Canis lupus familiaris: one gene and its partner. The protein of the gene in region 2 binds, or shares a complex with, the protein of the main gene of each other region. Links are inferred from orthologs where the notes say so. Each region holds a gene or a part of one and is shown on either strand. Other genes may lie near its edges.

Region 1 (4,867 bases), on a different chromosome or scaffold from region 2:
GGAACATCATCCCAAACTCTGACAGAGACACAGGGCTGGGCAGATCCAAGCTGCCAGGCCTCACGACTGCAGGGAACTGGTCAGGCATCTCAGATGGGCTTGTTGGCCCTGAACTAAAGCTGGATACAGACTGGGTTTCCGAGTCATCTTCAGACACGAAGTTGCTGCAGTTATCATCTTCAAAGGCCTCGGAGGCCACTAGGAGGAGAGACAATACCAGTCGTAGGTTCTGACGGAGAACAACCTAGTTCCTGAAACCCCTCTAGATGTGTGCACTTCTGGCTGGCAGCTGGATGCGGCCTGGGGACCACAGAATCCTTGCCACCGTGGGCACCTAAGAAAAGGACCCTGACCCTCCCAAGCCTGCATGGCCAGACTGCCAACTTCAAAGGGAAGCAGTTGGACCCCATGGATATCCCGTGTCCTTAAAATAACCTCCTAACTTCTACCCTAGAAGTCAGTGTCAACTACTTCAATACACTACCTAAAGTTGGAGGATGAATCTGCCCCAGAACAGGGGCTTTTCTCCGCCCCAGGTCCCCAGGTAGATCCACATGTACAGAAAGAGAGTGGCCCTTTGTGATGCACACTAAACAAAGCCAGTCAGCCGTAACAGCTGCTTCCATGCAGCAGAAGCAGGAGCTACAAAAAGAAATGGTCCTGTGTGGAGTAACTGTTGGGATTCTGTGATCTTCCAGGCACCTTCTGATCACATAAAAGACAAAGTATATCACCATTTGCTGCAAAAGGACAAAATTCCTTTAAAATGCTCTAAACTTGGGCCTCATTTTGTGGATCAGAATAAGCAAGGTTCAGAGGACAGATCATTCTTGTGGTTTGAAAGCCACATTCACCTTTCACTGTTTTCCCCTCAGCCTGCATACAATCCTGCTTTTTAGACCTTTCCTATTCTCTTTTTCCCTCCTCCCTTATCTTTAAAAACAGCAGTGGTTGAGGGAGGTGGGGGAGATACAGCAGTAGCATCCCCTAAAGGACTACCATAAATGAAAATTACTGAAATGCTGAGCTCAGAAAACAGGCTCATATCTGAACTCAGATCCTGTTCTCCACTAATTGCTGTGTAGCCTTCCTCAGCCTCTCTGAGCTTCATGTTCTCCTCCATATGAGAAGATGGGTAGTAGAGTACCTCACACATTACTGATGATCAGATTTTCCTTTCCGTTGGACCTGGCTTAAACATTTGTTTACTGAATTTTAAAACTCCAGAAGGACCTCCTTGAGAGCACCAATAAGGATTATTCCACAGAAAACGGAAGGAAGTGTGCAAAGACAGTGCTGGAAGTTTTCTTAATCTAAAGGGAAAACAACTATTTTCTTTCACCATACGCAAAAATAAACTCAAAATGGATTAAAGACCTAAATGTGAGACCTGAAACCATAAAAATCCTAGAAAAGAACACAGGCAATAATGTCTCTGACATCAGTCGTAGCAGCATTTTTTGAGATAGGCCTCCTGAGGCAAGGAAAATGAAAGCAATAAACTATTGGGACTACGTCAAAGAGCTTCTGCACAGTGAAGGAAAACATATCCAATATTAAGGGAATTTATACAAGTCAACCCACACCCAAAAAAACCCAAATAATCCAGTTAAGAAATGGGCAGAAGACATGCACAGACATCATCTCTCCAAAGGCATCCAGATGGCCAACAGACACCTAAAGATCAACATCACTCATCATCAGGGAAAAGCAAATCAAAACCACAATGAGATATCACCTCACACCTGTCAGAATAGCTAAAATCAAAAACACAAGAAAACAGGTGTTGGTGAGGCTGTGGAGAAAAAGGAACCCTCCTGCACTGTAGTGGGAATGCAAACTGGCACAGCCTTTGTGGAAAACAGTCTGGAGTTTCCTCAAAAAGTTAAAAATACAACTATCCTATGATTCAGGAAGCGCAGTACTGGGTATTTACCCAGAAATATACAAAAACTAATTCAAAGGGATACATGCACCCCTATGTTTATAGCAGCATTATTTACAATAGCCAAGGTATCAGTAGCCCAAGTGTCTACACCAATGGATGGGGGGGTGGGTATAGAATATTACTCAGCCATCAAAAAGATTGAAATCTTGCCACTGGCAATGGCATGAATGGAGCAAAAGGGTATAATGCTAAGCGAGATCAGTCAAAGACAAATACCGTATGATTTCACTCAGATGTGGAATTTAAGAAATAAATGAAGAAAAAGACAAAAAAACAAACAAACAGACTTAACTACAGAGAATTGATGGTTACCAGAGGGGAGGGGGCAGAGGGATGGAGGAAATAGGGGATGGGAATTCAAGAGTATACTTATCATGGTGAAAAAAGTAAAATGATAAAAGTGCGGGGCACACCAAATTTGTCTCTCAGTTTCCCACGGGGTCGCCCTGGGGGAAAAAAGGTCTCCACGGTTCGATACCAGTGAGGGCCACCATTTTCAGACTTTCTGGGTGCCTACATTATTTCATTTAATTCTAACCTCCCTTCTACACAGTGGATACCAGGTACTCATACTCCGTATTTTACAGGTAAAGAAACAGAGTTGAGCCCTTGCCCACATCATGTACTACGGGGGAGCCAGGATTTGAATCCAGTCGAAGTGCACGGGGCCCTATTAGGCAACTCTCCCTTCCCGCAGTACTGCTCAGAGCCCTGAATGTTCTAACACATACTCTGAATGTCAGGGAGCGTGAAAGTGTAACATTTTCCAAACTCATCCACCACAGAAGCCTGACTCTGAGAACACTCAGTAGCACCTCGATGAATACGGTGTCCCGCAAAATGTGGGAAGCCATGAGAAAGAGCCAAGTCTCCGGCCTGCCAACTCTGAGGCGCTTCCATACTGGCGAGACAGCTCTGGAAGCAGACCACACAAGCTACGGCGTCATCTCGCCCTTGCGCAGGAGCCCCCAACTCACCGGAAACGGCATCTGGCTCAGGCTTGCTCCCTGACAGGTCCTCCACCGACGTGCTGCTGCCCTCGGCCCCCACGCCGCAGCCCCGGGGCCCCATGGCGCTGGAGCGCCGCCGCTCGTGGATCTCGTCGGAGATCATCTCCAGGTTCTTCAAGGCCGTCTTGTACTCGCCTTTCGCCAGGGCCAGTTTGGCCTGCAGGTCATCCACAGTCTTCTTCAGTTGCTGCTCAGGAGAAGAGGAGGCTCAGTAAGTGGAGGCAGCCACTCCCGGCCTGGAGAGGCTTTTGAATGACAGGTTCAAGCCCATTTTCTGCCCGTCACTCTACTCCAAACTTCCCCAAGATGTGACCGATGGCCTGATTTCTCTCATCTAGCTATCCACACACCAGATAAAACAGCAGTCCCCACCAGCCCCAACCCCCATCCAGGTGACAAACTCGAGCTAAGAACCAGAAACTACCACTGGCGGAATAAAGCCCCCAGAGAAACAGTAAGGGGTGTCTAACTCACACCGGTCCCACTTTCTGGCCATTTGGTCCCTCGTACTGGGGTTCTCGAACTTGCATTAGAATCCCCTGGAGGCCTTTTTAAAACACAGATGGCTGGGCTCCACCTGCAGTCTGTGTCTGGGGTGGGGCTTAGGAACCTACACTCCCCGGGTGATGACGACACTGGTCCTAGGAGCCCCGAGGAGCCACTGCCCGGGGACAGTACAGAAAGTGGCTGGGCAGAAGATTCAGAGCACTTCAGAGGCCACTGAAGACCCAACCAAGGCCATTTTGAGTCCTGAAAACTCAGTAAAGAATGTGTTTCTCTCTCCATTCACCTCTTCTACCAATATGCCAGTAGAAAGTCCACTACCACATAAAAGTGGAGCTTTGAGTGCAGAAAAGCCAACAGCAAAGCCAAAGAACGCCACACATACCTCAAGCTGCACGTAGTACTTTGCCTTGAGTTCAAAATAAGGCCTGTGGAAGACACAAAACTGTGAGGGTGAGAATACGACGACCCCGACAGACACCACTAGCTAGGGCTGGCAGGCCAACCGTCCAGGATTTCGTCAACTCTGACAAGGCCAGGAGATGAAGATGATACTCGTAGATGGACACAGGTGCCAGTCAGAACTGCTCAAAGGGCCCACCCATCTCAAGACCTGTGGGACCCACACATGTGAACACTCATCCTGGGGCCCTTAAACCTTGGTTCACTTTCCTCTGTAGGAGGCTCTTCAGGACCATCCAGGGCGTGCCCAGCAGCTAAGGAAGCCCAGATCCCCTTCTCCTAAGGAGGAGGCTGTCTCCTTCAGAGTAAAGAACAGACAAGGCTGGGGTTGCCTGGGTGGCTCAGTCAGTTAAGCCTCTGCCTTTGGCTCAGGTCATGATCCCAGGATCCTGGGATGGAGCCCCATGTCAGGCTCCCTGCTCGGTGGGGAAGCCTGCTTCTCCCCTCCCTCCCACTCTGCCTACTTGTACACTCTCACTTGCTCTCGCTCTCTCACTTGCTGTCAAAAAAATAATATCTTTAAAAAAAAGAATAGACGAGGCTGGAGAAGGGACTGCCTCAACACACACCTGTCACTGGAGAAGGGAGAAGCATTATTCCTCCCTCACCAAAAGGATGGAGGCTCAGAGGGGTCCTCTTGCTTTCTGTCCATGAGTGTCAGTCTGCAGACCCAGCAGGTCATGGGCAAGAGAGAGGACAAAGGCCAACATTCTACTAGCCCCCAGGTTCTGGGTCAGTCAAAAGACCCTGGCTCTTTTTTGGAACTTTGGTGTCAAGCGTTAAGAGTAGACAGTACTTTATTCTTGAGCTGTTCACTCCCTGGGAAGCTCTTTGGCTTGGAGGCCCAGCAACTGTAAGTGAAGCAGGGGGCTTGTCCCCAACATCATTACTATATAAAAATATACAGCAGCAGTGAAAAAAAGCTTGCAAAAACCTCCATTAA
Region 2 (5,433 bases):
TTGTGCATGGATTGAAGTGTGGATAAACCTGGGGATGTCTAGCAAGAATAACTGTTTCTTTATCTCACAAATCAGCTTCTACTGTAATATTAAAAAAAAGTATTTTTTCTATTAGCATAGTTTTTCAAAAGTCAAATACTCTAATTAGATTTTTTAAGCTCTTGCTACCTGAGGAAACTGAAGCTTCTTTGGTATTATTTATAACTAGAACTCCACATCCCCCCTTTATTACTGTAAACTAAATCCACACTTTCAAAAAAATCTACCCAGGACATTGAAAAGCTGTGTAGAACTACTATTTTCTTTGAAGCAGATATTCTGCATTTAAAAAGTATGTTTTACCACACAAGGACATAATTTGGCTAGTTAGGGTGTTCTTAGTGAAAAAAAAAAAAAAGAATCTTTTTATAAGGTTAATAAAAGTTGGTTCAAAGTACATTTTCTGCCATTGAATTTTAGCAGTTGTCATCTGTCCACTAGGAAAATCTTTCAGCAGACCAATCTTATCTACTTTCTTTTAATGTGAATATAGTTGTTTTCTGAATGTTAAATTGACTTATAAGTGAAAAGATAATTAAAAGTGAATGCAACATGCCATTGTATATTTGTCAAAACTCATAGAACTGTACAATACAAAGAGCAAAATCTAATATAAACGATGGACTTTAATGGATAATAACATGTTATTATTATTTGGTTCATCAATTGTAACAAACTTACTATACTCATAAAACATGTTAATAATAGGGGAAACTGTTTTGAGGGGACAGCAGAGTATATGGGGATTCTTTGTACTTTTCTGCTCAGTTTTTCTGTAAACCTTGAATTGCTCTGAAATATAAAATCTATTAATTAAAAAGAAAAGTGATACAGAGATAGGTCCTTTCATCTTCTGTGACATCAATCACAAAGTTTACTGTCATTAGAAATCATTACTATTCTATTTTTTATTGAGGCATAATTGACATACATGCATTACATTACATTTATTTCAGATATACAATAAAATAATTTGACATCTGTATATATTAAAAAATGATCACCACAATAAGTCCAGCCAACATTTATCACTCAGCCTCATTGGACATGGAATGTTGTCCCTCTCTTAAATCTAGAGCTGCGGGCACCTCTGTATAGAATTTTTTTCTTGTGATAAGAACTTTTAAAGATCTGCTCTCTCTGCAACTCTCAAATATACAATGCAGTATCATTAACTGTAGTCACCATGCTATACATTACATCTCCATGATGTTTATTTTGTTACTGGAAGTTTATCCCTTTTGACTCCCTTCACCCATTTTACTCACTCCCCACACCACCTCTGGCAACCATCAATCTGTTCTCTGTATCTATGAGCTTGGCTTTTTCTTTTCTTTTTAGATTCCACATATAAGTGAGATCATGTGTTATTTATCTTTGTTTGCTGACTTATTTCACTAAGCATAATGCCCTGAAGGGCCATCCAGGTAGTTGTAAATGGCAAGATTTCATTCTGTTTTATGGTTGAATTATATATATATATATATATATATTTTGCAGTCCACTGATGGACACTGATGGTTTCCATATCTTGGCTGTTGTAAGCAATGTTACAATGAACACGAGGGTGCAGATATCTTTTCAAATTCGTTTTTTTTGCTTTCTTCAGATAAATACCTAGAAGTAGAATTGCTGGATCATATGAAGAACCATTAGTATCTTGAGTTCACCATCATGGCCGTGGTAAGCTATTGGCCTTGTGTTTCCCATCCAAACAATATAATAAAAGATATTAATTATAGATAAGCTGCATTTGAGAAATTATTTTAAGATATAAATTTTGACTCAATTTTGAGAAATTTTGTTTTTTTTAACTTCAAGTTTTCTCAGTGCTTTTAATTTAGTAATATGAAATATAACTTTCCAAAAGTGAGATGTTGAATGCAGCAACTCTGAAACTTTTAAATTATGAAATAGTTTTCCAAAGGACTAGAGATCCCCAAGTGGAAGCATCATGAAAAATACATGACAAACTCTCTGAGAAAAGCCATTATTATATATCTTGAAATGACAGTGAATCAACAATGACCCTCTGCATTCCCTTCATATGTATTCACTCACCCAGTTATACTGGTTTATCTTTCATAATTTGCTTGTGTTTACCAAACCATTTGCAACCTCTTGCCACCATATTAATTTATGACATAATAATCTAATTGTTGGAAGTGTTAGCTAGGTGACAGTCCTCTTTAGCAACCCCACTATTATAACTAATTCTTGACTTCTTTCTTTTGTAACTTTTGAAGCTGGGACCTTTAATTCTCATCTGAGGGTTCAAGTCCATTTTAGACTTTAGGCTAGGATGATCAACCTTCCAATTTTGCCTGGGACCAAGGGATTTCCTGGTATGGGGGACTTGCTAATCTGGGAAGTTTCTGGCAAATGGCGATGAGTAGGTAACCCTAGGACCAATTTTGATAAGAGATCTTAGTGCAGTAGTTAGTTTTACTGCTAAGCTCCCGTGAATGCACTTCGACTTGGATTCAGAAGTTGAATTCTTGCTCCAATTTCACTGACTTGATTCCTTCGTGTTTCCCTATTCCAGAGTCCCTTCCCATTTGCTGTTTGGAAAGCCAATTCATCAGTACCTTCATTTCCTCCAGAGAATTGAGTCCTAACACTGAATGATAGCTCCTACAGCAGAACCTAAGGATCTCCTTCTTGCCAGGCTTCTCTGAAAAATTGTTTTTTAATGTCCAAATTTTTATTTCTTGTTTTTAGATAAACCTCCATCAATTGTCTATTTCACTTTGGAGGGTTTGCTAGATCTATTAAGATCCTATTGACACCGATTCTGGCCTTTCCTTTTGCTGGGTTTGCTTGCATCTGCAAAATCAAGATTCAAGGTATGGTATCAGATTTGTAGGTTTAGGAACTCTAATTTATTGCTCATTCAGCACTTTTCTTCTTCTTGGGAACTGATTTACTATTATTTTTAAATTGTGACTCAATTTACATGGAGTTAAATGCACTAATTTTAGGAATTACACTTTGAGGAGTTCTGACAAATACTTACACCTATGTAATAACTTGCACCTCTATCAAGATATAGCACATCTTCTCACTACAGAAATTTCCCTCTTGCTCTCATCACAATCTTCAACTGTGTGGCTCCCCCAGGCAATCACAGTTCTGATTTCCATCACCATAGAACAATTTTTTACTTTATAAGTGGGTTTATAAAGTAAATGCTCTCTTTTGTCTCATTTTTTTCACTTAGCATAATGTTTTTGAGATTCATTGATGTTATTGCATGTTTCAGTATTCATTTTGAAAAGGTAATATCAAAAAGTTTTTATTTCTAAGTGAAAGGACATCTTCTTATTTAGAAAATAAGGAATATTCCTGCAAATCTTCAGTCCTACCTCAAACTATAAGCATGCTATAAAATAAAGATATTTGTATATAAGAAATACTAAATACAACTCTGTGTTTTTGAAAATAAAAACTTGTACTCATTTATTCACCTAAAACTCTTCTTTCAAAAGCCTTTATGACTGATAGTACTAATAGAATTCAGGTCAGACTTCTAGACTAAATAGTTTCATTTGAAAACACTAAAAATAGTTTAAAACAGGGGATCCCTGGGTGGCTCAGTGGTTTAGTGCCTGCCTTCGGCCCAGGGTGTGGTCCTGGAGTCCCAGGATCGAGTACCCACATCAGGCTTCTGCATGGAGCCTGCTTCTCCCTCTGCCTGTGTCTCTGCCTCTCTCTCTCTCTCTCTCTCTCTGTGTCTCATGAATAAATAAAATCTTAAAAAAAAGAGTTTAAAACAGTTAATGTTTAAATATTTAATATTATAACAGAAATTGCCTCCTTTAGTATTGGGTATTTCAAAACTTAACACTCCATAATAATATTTGAGATAAAAAGTTTGATAGCTGGTAAAAGAATGTTATAACCTTACTGATCACCTACTAAGTGTAAGAAAATATGACAGATTCCTGGAAAAGGGAAATTTCAGGGAAAACAATGAATAATAAAGAAGATTAAGTTACAGTCAAGTTTGAGGTAGGATATTGTATAGTTATAAAATTAGAGTAATACAACATATAGTTTGGTAAACACTAAATGAAAGGGAAGAGATACTTTCATGGGAGTTTATGTGGTGGGTACAACTATGCATAAATAGAGTGCCTGCCAAATACAATGGTGTCAATAGGTATCTATTGTTTTTCTTTTTCTGTCTTTGATTAAAATTGTATTTTGGGGAGGAAGGGAGGCTCTAAAACAGATTGTGTTGGGTTGAGGAATTGCAATGGAAGTTTACGTTAGGATCATCTTATTGAGGACACTAAGTAAATAGTTTTTATTTTATCCAGTCAGAAAGGGGATTTATTTAGCGTTGATTTTTTAAAAAGCCAACTTATATTAAATTATCTTATTTGAGGAAATTTTCTTATAGTGTATAGAATAGATTTAAAAGACCATTTGATCATCTAAATATTACTGAAATGAGTAGGTTGGGAATTAAAGCTCTAAATAGTAAAATCAACCTTTAAATCTAAAAGCAGTGTTGGAATCTATTTTTCTTTGTAAATTGTACCGTCAAGAATTAGTACCTGGGGCGCCTGGATGACTCAATGGTTGAGCATCTGCCTTTAGCTCAGGTAGTGATCCCAGGGTCCTTCCTTGGATGAGTCCCACATCGGGCTCCCCGTAGGGAGCCTGCTTCTCTTTCTGCCTATGTCTCTGCTTCTCTCTGTGTGTGTCTCATGAATAAATAAATAAAATCTTAAAAATAAAAAGAATTAGTACCTAATTGAAAAAAATGGTTGGTTTTAATCTATTCATAGTTGTCATTCTTTTTTATTGCTGAATAGTATACTATTATAGGAATATATCATAATTTGCTTATTCATTCTCCTGTTGAAACACTTTGAGTTGTTTCCAGTTTTTTCTTTTCTTTTTTTACCAATTACAAATAAAGTTGGCATACATTTTTATGTACAAGTTTGGTTTTGGTTTTTGTTTTTAGTGGAAATATGTTTCTATTCTCTTGAGTGACTATCTATGAAGAGAATTGCTAAGTCATACTGTAGGTATATGTTTATCATTAAAAAAAACCCTGCCAAACCATTTCCCAAAGTAGTCTTACCATTTTATACTCACACCATTAATGTAGGAGAGTTCTGGTTTCTCTATTTTTTTAGCCAATAGTTAGTGTTGTTAGTCTTTTTAAATTTTAGCCATTTTTGTGGGTGTAAATTACCATTTACTGCAGTTTTAATTTGCATTTCTCTGATGACTAATGATGCTGAACAGTTTTTAATGTACTTATTAACCATTTATAAATATCCTTTGTCAAGTGCCTGCTCGAGACTATTGTTTATTTTTATCATTGGGTTGTAGGATATTTTTATATAATCTAGAATTTGTATTTGAATTTGATAG

What was found.
Region 1: the proteins of MAPK10 (region 2) and SH3BP5 are in contact, whole or in part, in a crystal structure (PDB 4H3B), measured with the Homo sapiens proteins. The link is inferred for Canis lupus familiaris from reciprocal best matches to the Homo sapiens genes MAPK10 and SH3BP5. Residues at the interface, in NP_620448.1 of Homo sapiens: Lys121, Asp150, Ala151, Gln155, Val156, Met159, Leu161, Glu164, Arg165, Tyr168, Tyr171, Val197, Lys198, Ser199, Asp200, Cys201, Trp362, Asp364, Glu367; in NP_004835.2 of Homo sapiens: Val341, Val342, Arg343, Pro344, Gly345, Ser346, Leu347, Asp348, Leu349, Pro350.

Annotation. Positions count from the first base shown.
Region 1 is NC_049244.1:27,840,659-27,845,525, reverse strand, and holds part of SH3BP5 (SH3 domain-binding protein 5), read right to left. Parts: intron 3,891-4,867; coding exon 3,848-3,890; intron 3,146-3,847; coding exon 2,926-3,145; intron 199-2,925; coding exon 1-198. UniProt on the Homo sapiens protein: Functions as a guanine nucleotide exchange factor (GEF) with specificity for RAB11A and RAB25. Inhibits the auto- and transphosphorylation activity of BTK. Plays a negative regulatory role in BTK-related cytoplasmic signaling in B-cells.
Region 2 is NC_049253.1:30,096,659-30,102,091, forward strand, and holds the start of MAPK10 (mitogen-activated protein kinase 10), read left to right. Parts: upstream 1-1,659; 5' UTR 1,660-1,722; intron 1,723-2,760; 5' UTR 2,761-2,885; intron 2,886-5,433. UniProt on the Homo sapiens protein: Serine/threonine-protein kinase involved in various processes such as neuronal proliferation, differentiation, migration and programmed cell death.